Linked DNA regions of Oreochromis niloticus. The protein of the gene in region 1 interacts with the protein of each later gene in a biochemical or structural test. Links are inferred from orthologs where the notes say so. Each region holds a gene or a part of one and is shown on either strand. Other genes may lie near its edges.

Evidence for each region. The genes of interacting proteins can lie anywhere in the genome.
Region 2: the proteins of dlg3 (region 1) and gda form a complex in vitro, tested with the Homo sapiens proteins (2 studies listed by BioGRID and IntAct, with this or other methods). The link is inferred for Oreochromis niloticus from reciprocal best matches to the Homo sapiens genes DLG3 and GDA.

Annotation. Positions count from the first base shown.
Region 1 is NC_031966.2:19,911,408-19,916,322, forward strand, and holds the start of dlg3 (disks large homolog 3), read left to right. Parts: upstream 1-1,777; 5' UTR 1,778-2,194; coding exon 2,195-2,213; intron 2,214-2,394; exon of another isoform or gene 2,395-2,409; coding exon of another isoform or gene 2,410-2,424; intron 2,425-3,050; coding exon of another isoform or gene 3,051-3,054; coding exon 3,055-3,186; intron 3,187-4,915. UniProt on the Homo sapiens protein: Required for learning most likely through its role in synaptic plasticity following NMDA receptor signaling.
Region 2 is NC_031977.2:13,937,853-13,942,767, reverse strand, and holds the start of gda (guanine deaminase), read left to right. Parts: upstream 1-1,282; 5' UTR 1,283-1,356; coding exon 1,357-1,485; intron 1,486-2,017; coding exon 2,018-2,106; intron 2,107-2,282; coding exon 2,283-2,454; intron 2,455-2,661; coding exon 2,662-2,749; intron 2,750-4,584; coding exon 4,585-4,690; intron 4,691-4,915. UniProt on the Homo sapiens protein: Catalyzes the hydrolytic deamination of guanine, producing xanthine and ammonia.

The sequences.
Region 1 (4,915 bases):
CAGAATATCTGAAAAAGAAAAGTGTTTCAGTGGCCCGGTTAAAGTTCAGACCTAAACCTGACTGAAATGCTGCGACAGGAGCTTAAGAGAGCTGCCGATAAACCAAAAAACAAACCGTTTCCCACAAACCGAACTCTAACGTTTCCCACCATGCTGCAAGAGACTGATAAAGTCAGATATAATGCTTCTGTATTTTGGCTTAGTTTTTTTCATTAAATAATGACACAGTGTAGCAACAGTCTTAGGGTCTGTCCACCTAATTTAAAAACTGGATCATTTCTATTATGTCCTGACATGTAAAACCTTAGAACTGACAGATGGATACTTTCTTTCTAACGTGACTGAATCTGATCAATAGATTATATTTTGTACAGTTGAAAAGTTTAATCTATGTTAACACTAGACATGGATAAAAACTACAACTGAAGCACACAACCATTTTTTTAAAAATATAATGAAGAGAGTGTTTTGTGATTGATCAGTATACAACGCAGTCTGGCAGGTGAGTGGGTCATCTACTAATTGGAGTGTCGCTGGATTGATCCCCGACCTCTTCACATCCACATGTTGAAGAGTCCTTAGCCAAGATGCTGAACCCGGCATTGTCTTTGATGCATTCATCAAAGTGTGTGTGTGTGAATGTTAGTGAATGCTTATGCATACAAAAAAATCACTGAATGAATGTGTGTATGATAACACTTCTAAAGCAATAAAGTCCGATTGTAAATTGTAGTTGTAAATGTTTAGTGTCTTCTTCTTGTGGCTTTAGCTGACCACCTTCCTCAATCTCACTCTATCCCCAGTCTCACGCCTCCCCGTCACGATGTAGAGATCGTGGAGGACTACCGGTACCTGGGGGTACACTTGGACTGTGAACTGGACTGGACCAAGAACACCAATGCTGTCTTTAAAAAAGGGCAGAGTCGGCTTTTCCTACTGAGGCGGCTCAGGTCCTTTAATGTTGATAATGTTCTATCACTCTGTGGTAAAGAGTGTTGTGTTCTTTGCCGCCACAGAAAATCCTTTGTGCCAGTGGCAATAAAACTGTACAATTCTTCCTCACTCTGTAGGCGATTTCCTGAGGATTAAAAACAAAGCTATTCTGTTCCCATTCAGATTGTGCAATATCACCCAACAGGTTTCATTGAATGTTTGTTTCATCTCCCCATCATATGCTGCTACTCTTTTATCCATTTGCACAATACTATGTCACTTTTAGAATCACCTGCACTGATAGCTAAGCTATTTATTTTTCAGGATATAATTATATTGTTACTTGCTACAGTTATTCGATATTATATTTTGCACTATCATACTGTATATTACTGTATACTTGTATTCTATTGTACATATTGTATATCTTATTACTCTGTTCCTATGTCTCTCTTGCTGCATTGAGCATGTGTATAACAAAAGAATTTCCCTCGGGATAAATAAAGCTCTTCTTATCTTATCTTATCATGTACTTTACTACAACAATGAACCTTCTCTGAAGTTATCCTCTTTTCCACCTGCCCGGTAGCTCTATTTTCCGCACCCTGACTATCTCTTCTCTGCACATGCCCAAAACACGTCTGCATAGTGTACTTTTCCTTTTATGAAGGACTCCCAGCACCACCTTATCCCACCACAAGATGTCACCAACTACAAAAAAAATCGAGAAACAGGCGACTTACCAGATAAACATGCAACGAGGGACATAAACGGCTTAAGTAGCACACTGATCATTACTAGTGATGTCATGTACTGAAGCTATCTGCAGGTGTCAGTGTTTAAAGCGTTAATACTGACAGTGCAAATGGGCCCGCTATGGCCGGACCGGTGGGCCTTCTCCACGGAGGCGAGGCGTGTGTGAGAGAGGGGAGGAGGGACGTGAACATGTCACGCTCCGGAGCCGTTTTGCCCCCCCGAAAAAAGAAAACTTCTGGAAAAGTTGACATGAAGTAAACAGTCTTTGCTTTTTCACATCTTAACCTCAGTCTGTGGGTGTGGACCACACTGCGGACCGCTGCAGCGACACTTCAGACAGACTGGGAGTGTCGGCGACTGGATTTAAAAAAAAAAATCTGTTGTGAGGAAGGAGCGACAGTCCCGGTTGTAAAATTATCCGAGACTATCGCAGTTATTATTCTTGCTTCCTAAACCCTCAAAACACCCCGAAATTATAACTTATGTGACTTTTCAAGTCGGCCACATGATGGTGCATAAATATGGTGAGTACCGTTCATGTAACGTTATATCTTTTTTTTCCCACGTGTCACATTTTTTTCTTATATACTCGGGTAAAGTTAAAGTTTTTAGGTTAATGCCAGCTCATTACGCCATCAAAGTCATTGCACGGCTTTTCACCGCCCCACTAACCTCAGCTGTAATCCCCTCTAGAAACCAGACTGTTTTAGCCCTCAGGGAATGAGAAAGTTAAGAGTAAGTGGAAATTGCCAGCTTCCGTACTGTTGTTGTTATTGTTGTTGTTGTTGTTTTCTGAGATGTTTTTCTCCTACTCGATCATAATGTTCAGGATTAGGTAGGAAACTGTGAAGTAGTAGATTTACCTTCGTGATGTGCATCAACTCTGCATTCTGTGCTCCTCACCACCCACCGGGTTCAACAACCAGCTGCACAGTCCTGATGGGAAAGAGAGAAATGCCTTTAAAGTGCTCTGCAGGAGAATATAACAGGCAGCAGCAGTGATGCGTTTAGTTAAAAAGATGGAGAAATCTTCCGTCTTTTATTATTTATTTAAATTCTTATAACAGTGTGTCTCTGTGCAAAGAAAAGCAGTAGTAGCAGTATTGCTGGCTACATGTATTTACATTTAGTAATAGTTTAATTAGAGCTAAAATAAAGAGGTAAGTTGAGTGACTGAGAGTAGTCTGGAATTTTTGTATGAACTGATTAATTCCTGATATTTTTGAAAATTGCAACTCCAGAAATGTCGTTTTCTAGCCTCTCAAATGGGATACAGATTCATAAAACTGTCATTTCATTTCCCCTGTCTGTGTGTAGCTTTGCTGCTGCTGTTGTTCTGAGACATGTATTTATTTTGTGAGGCAGACACAGCTAGGGCGGTGAGGCTGCTCAAGCAGTACCAGGCCAACCTGACCAGTCCAGAGGAACAGGCCTTGAAGACCAGCGTGGGCAAAGTGTCTTCCATCTTGGGCAGCCAGCTGTTTCAAGCCCTTCTCGGTAAGCTTGTTTTGAAGAAGAGAGTCTTTCGAAACTTTTCCCTCTATCTTATGTTGCATCAGACCGTTCTTAGGATGTCCTTTCCAAACAACGCTTCCTCTTCACGTGCCTGTCTTCTTAAGTATGGGAGGTATTTTTTTTTTCGTGATCTCTTTTAATTTACTGCGCACTGTTGCCGCACACTATCAGTATTAGATTCAGTGCAGCTCGTATAGTTTGATTTGCGTGGCCGTGTGATTGGCTGAAGGCTGACACAGGATGCAGACGGGGTCAGGTTGTATTAATTTGTATGGGAAGTTAACTGAGTCTAAATGTTTCCCAATTAAGTCTTATGAAAGAGGCCTTTCAGTTTGCCTCACAAAGGCTTGCTGTATAACCACCTCTGTAGCATACTCGGATTGTAATAAAATCCCATTAAAGCAACACTCAACTCAGTCTATCTATAGACTGTGCTGTTATAAACTCTGACCTGTCACACTGTTGAAACACAATTCCTCCTTTAAGTTTTACAAAAATAGGCACATTTATGTCTCATAAAACTGTATCAGCAGGGTATAGATCATTGGTCAGAAAACTATTCACTTTATTCACTTCAGCCAGAAGCAAATGTAACTGCTTCTGGCTAAAGTGTTTACTAATAGTGAATCATGAGTAAATTTTAGTTGTAACCAGCTACACCTTCATGACAACCTGAGTGTGGCGTGTTTTGTGTTTTTGGAAATGAGCCTGTGTGAACCTTATCCTCACTTCCTTTTAGAGCAGATAAGGCACATTACTTCAGTTTAGCAAATGGTTGAGTGGTCCTTCTAATTACCACAGCCATGTTATAATGATGCTTGCCCCTGGGTCTGCTATTGCTTCTGCTGACCCACTGCTGCTTCTTTGCTGGGGATCTAAGGGGGGAAGGGCGGCTATGACTCAGGCAGCAGTTAAAAATGATACGGTGTGGCTCATTTTGCTAATGATGTATACTGAAGGGAGTTTAAGGTATACTTTCTTGTGCTGACTGATGAACCCTTTAAACATAAAGATAAAATGTATTGCTCTTTTTGCGTCTTGTCAAAGGTAAGGGGCTCATTATAGAGACTAATTTGTTGTACCTCATCACCCAGAGTCCACATTTTAAGACCAAATGAGTTGTTAAGTCTCATTTGAAAGGTTTCTAAAAATATAGGCTGGAGCAAATACAGTTAGTTTTTGTACACCACCACGGTGGATAAAACAATAAAAATGTGACTGAGTTTGCATGAATGGTTTAGGAAGTAGAGAATTTAGAAAAAAAAAAAATGCAGTCCCTCATTTTCAGAGGCTCAATTTGCACTGTGAAGCTCTGTGAGATCGGCAGCATTTGCAGCGTTTGATTGGATCTGAGCAGAGAGTGTAGTCCTGTACACTGGAGAATTCATCCTTCTGCTTCTATCAGGAGTCACATCATCAATAAACACCAGTGACCTGGTTTCACTGGCAACCATACATGCCCATGCCATAAAATTGCTCCAGTCATGTGTGTCCGATGATGTGATTTGCTTTGGATTAGGAGTTGTTTCTCTCCTTATCCATACTTTTCTATTCTCATCATTTTGGCACAAGGTAATCTTCATTCATTCATCTCCTAAGATTTTCTCTGCAGGCTCTTTTAGGTGTTTCCTGGACAGGTCTAATTTCCTCTTCTTGTTCTTGGGTTTGCATCTTGTTGTAAACCCTTTGCATTTCCATTCATGAAGGCATC
Region 2 (4,915 bases), on another chromosome or scaffold:
ACCTATAGTTTAGCAAAATATTAATAATAATAATAATATTATTATAGCACACATCAAGGTTGGTTTTGAAAATGGATAAAGCAGGATAAAACATTAAACTTCTGGGATGGCCTTTCCAAAGTCCCGAACTCAACTCTATTGAAAATTTATGGACTATGCCTAAAAGCTGAGTCTGTGCCAGGAAACCAACCAATTTAAATGTACTCCGTCAAGATGAGTAATCAAGTCTTCAACCAAAATTATGTGTATAATTGAGCCTGTATGTGTACTTTTGAAAATCTATAATAAATCCAAGTTTGTGACAGGAGTTCTTCTTTAAAAAAAAATGTATGTTTTAGATCATTCCAACCTGGAAAAGGAACAGTAATGATGAATGGCTGTAAATGTCTGACCAGAGCTGTGGACTGATTGAGGTGACTGTAGCTCAGGTAGAGCAGGTCATCTACTGATGAAGGTTAGTGGTTCGATCCTTGGCTCCTCCTGTCTGCATGCCAAGTATCCTTGGGCAAGATACTAACCCCAAGTTGCTCTCCGATGCATCCATCGGAGTGTGAATGTTGGGAAGCATTAAAAGCTTAGAAGAAAGTGATTGGGTGAATGCGACATGTTGCATAGAGCGCTTTGAGTACTCCAGGAGAGTAGAAAAGCGCTATATAAGACTCAATCCATTTACCATTGATAGTTCTGTTTCTCGGGTCATGGGTCATGAAATGTATCTAATTAATATAACTTTTGTATTTGACGGAAATTATAGGCTGTATTTTTTCAAATGGAAGACTAATTTTAAAGACTTTTTCACCTCTGATTGCTTATTCCCAAAAGCTGACTCGGTTTAATTAACTTAAATATTATAATAAAGAAATAAAGCTTTGGTTTCATTTGTTTATTTTACATGACCAAAAAATTGTTTACTTTCTCTAAAATGAACTTACACTGAAGCATTTTTTATGCTTATGTCTAAATTTGCGGAAGAGAAACGATGGAAAGTTCAAGCTGTTTCTGTCTTTTGTGCTGATTTCTGAGTGGTCATGTTTGTGTTAGAAACCTTGACCACCATAAAGTTTACTATTCAGCAGAAAGCAGTGACTCATGGATAACTTTGATAATTTGCATTACGCACCTCATACTAAGCCAGGAAAACAAAGGCAAAACAGCAAATTTCTCCTTAAGCTTATCAGATCACACGTTACAAGTGTTATAACGTCTAGACGGGACGATCCCGACATGCACACCCTGTCCTCTCATTGGCTGCTCAGGATCTCTGCCGTCAGGTGGTGTTTGGCACTGGCAGAGGACAAATACCCGACTCGATCCCGCTGTATCTCACTGCTCCACCGCGACTTACCTGGAGAAGAAATGGCAAACTCCGACCGAGCCGACACTGCAATAGCCTTCGTCTACAGGGGCACGTTTGTCCACTCGACTCAACAAAAGGCGCTACAGATCCTGAAAGATGCGCTCCTGGGAGTGGATACACAGGGAAAGGTTTGTGGAATTCCAGAATACATTGATTGCGTTTTACATTTGATAAATATCTTGATGATGATTTTTAACTGACAAAAGGGTAAATCACGCAGGCTTCAGGGCGTAAATCTGGTATAATATGCTAGGCTATTTTAATTTTGTCATATAATTAGCTGTTGCTGAGCAACTTTGGCAGTATGGTCAACAGTAAACCCCCTGATACAGAACACTTAATAGCATTATAAATAGACGCCTACAGTACACCTGCCTGATTACAACGTGTGTAATTAAAAAAAAAGATATATAACTTTTAATATGAATGTTTTTTATCCACAGAAAATAATAGATTCTCGTCTCGGTTGTTGTGAACAAAGGAATATGTTTGTAAACTGTAGATGAAAATACATTTTAAGCTAAACGTATTATAAATATACAGCTGTCTATTTTCTACCAAAGCCTCCCCTAAGCTCTCAGCTCTCTCAGCTTGCTTAATTACAAGCACCTTTCTGCACGTATGCTTTTAACCCCCGTCTGATTTCCATTCTGCGGTCAGATTGCTTTTATCGAGGAAGGCAAGGAGTTAGAAAAACTGTCCCAGACCTTTGGATTCAAGACATCTGACATCACTCAGCTGGCACAACAGTAAGCTTATTATATAATCTTGATGTGATTTCAGTAAGTCAGAGATTGTTTGTGTTATAATTTCACACATATAGATATAAAGAAAAGGGATGGATGGATGCTCATCTTTGTATTGGAAGAAATTGATTTATCTCATAGGTCATAAAGCAATTTTTTTTTGGCTTGCTTCATTCGAGTGAGTTCTTCATGCCAGGACTTGTAGATACCCACATCCATGCATCACAGTACAGCTACGCTGGCACAGCATTGGACATGCCGTTACTGCAGTGGCTTAATGCTTACACCTTTCCTGTGGAGTCACGCTTCAAGGACTTGGAGTTCGCCCGCAAGGTCTACACCCAAATAGTGGTGAGATTGCCAGCATCAAGAGATAAGTGAGTTTGGACACTTATCTCTTGATGTCAAACTTTGAACATTTGCATCAGTTAAAAGTTGTTGATGAAAGACATTCAACAAGTGAATAAAGAAATCGGATTGTGACTCAGCCTGTGAGTTAAGGGTCTCAGAAGTGTTGATTTGGTCTTAATCCTGTGATATGATCCCTGTGCTTTACAGAGAAGAACTCTGAGAAATGGAACAACAACTGCTTGCTACTTTGCTACAATTCACACTGAAGCCTCTCTGTTGCTGGGCCAGATTGCAAGTAAATGTCTTATACTAAAACACATGCACAAACACACACTTTAAGCTGAATGTTTATATTGAAGCATTACAGTAGGCCTCTTAATTATTTAAAAATATATCACATTTGTTTTTTATGTGTAATAAGCTACGATAATATTTTTAAATTTCCCATAGTTTAAGATGACAAGATAAGGAAGCTGGACTTTAATAAAAGTGACTAAATATTATCAGAATGCTAGTTTGCCTCACTTCTATACAATCATTGTCATGTGCAGTATGTTATGATGCTTTGACTTAGACTCAGTTATTTAATTTTTTTTCTTGCCTTTCTTCACTCTAACGATATGTTTCATAAACACTGCAAAGAAATGGTCCTTCACCTTTATACCCTAGCTTTATCTTGTTCCTGTCATATTATGTAACACTGAACAAACACGCACATGAATTTATAATGATGTAACTCTAACGCATCAAACCCTGTTATTGGCAACATAACAGAGTCATTTTGTGCAATCAGGGGCATTGAACTCTTAACTTTGTCCTGCTCTGAGTAGCTGTTCCTAGAGAACTGTTGAACAGAGTCATGTGCTTGTGTATAGGCACGTTGGAGTATTTCCAAACCGTATATTTAACATGAATAAAGCTTAAGAAAATACTTGCAACAAACCAATTTGTTCAGTTGAAGTTCAAGCTGGAATACAGCAATAGAGTTTTCTGACAGATCAGACACAAAATGTTTTATCATAGCTGGACAACATAATCTCAGAGTTGTGAAACCACACCTGACAACAGAGGTGTAGATCTGAGATTTGTAGTGACTAGCCTATCGAGCTACACCCTAAAGCATGCCATGATGTGTAATATTGTTCTCTGTAAATGGGAGGGCCATTTATTAAAAGGACATCATGTTCTTTTGTATGGGCTTGAAACTTGTGATCGAGACCATAAACAAACTGGGAAAATGTTTACTGAGGTCATATATCAAGTGAGCAGTAGAGTCATTATCCCATAGAAGTCATTCGCTTGACTTTACAGAGAGAAATCTGTCCATCTTATATGCAGAGATAATAAACAAGCACAGACTAGAGACACCTAGAAAGCTTAAATCACATGTGTGGGCATGTCAATAGATGAAAAATAATGCAGCTGTCTAACGATGGGATGGAAAAGAAAGTGCAGTTTTTCAACTGTCTTACATCCTAACTTGTGTAACCTGATCACCTGAGGATTTTACAGCACAATAATCTGTTTGACAAAGCTTTTTTTATGGTTGCAAACAGTACATCTCTGGTATAAACTCAGCCTGGTAGCAGGAGTATTCCACCTGGACTTTTTCAAAGCATATCACAAGAGGAAACACACCTGTGTACCTAATTATTTCACTTAGCTGCCTCCGTATCAGGCCTCTGGTGTCGTGCTAGCTGAACGACTGACCTGAGCCATGGTTAATCCTATCAAAACAAAAAGCCATACTATTGCAAGCGGTGCTGCTGAACCTGTTTAGCACTAAAATGCGTCAACTTCCACATTACACAATATCTATACTTAGCAAATGACTCTGCGTGCATTTATATCAGATGACTGGCATAAGGAGTTACAACAAGATTTTACTCTGACATGTGTAGAGCCTGTAATGAAATGTCAAGGTCAAAGGGACGCACATACAGATGACATTACAGAGGCTGTTTATTATATGTGAGCATCACAACTGCACAAATACTCTTCATTTAACATGAAGTGACAATGACTGACCTTTGTCCTCAAAAATCTAATTAAATCAAATACTCAGTAACAGCTTTGAATGGATTAATGTTTACTTATGTTCCTGTTTACTCCCCGATGCCTTTCTTGCAGATAACTTTGGACAGCGTGCTTTGGTTGGCAAGGTGTGCATGGACAGGAACGACTGTGTGAAACATTACAAAGAGACTTTGCAGGACTCTCAAGACGAGACCTGTCGGTGGGTATTAGCTGCTTAATACCGTATAGCAGATCTTGTGTTACGATGTTCTTTCAATGTAAACATATTCCATGACAGAACAAGTTTGGTTACTTTGTAATTATTCAGTCTGGATCGTAAAAGAGGCAGTTAAGCTTTAAGCCTTTATGTCTGAGACCCTGATACAGATTTTTTCAGATTGATGCCAAATGTGTTACAGATCAAACACATGTAAAAAAAAAAAAA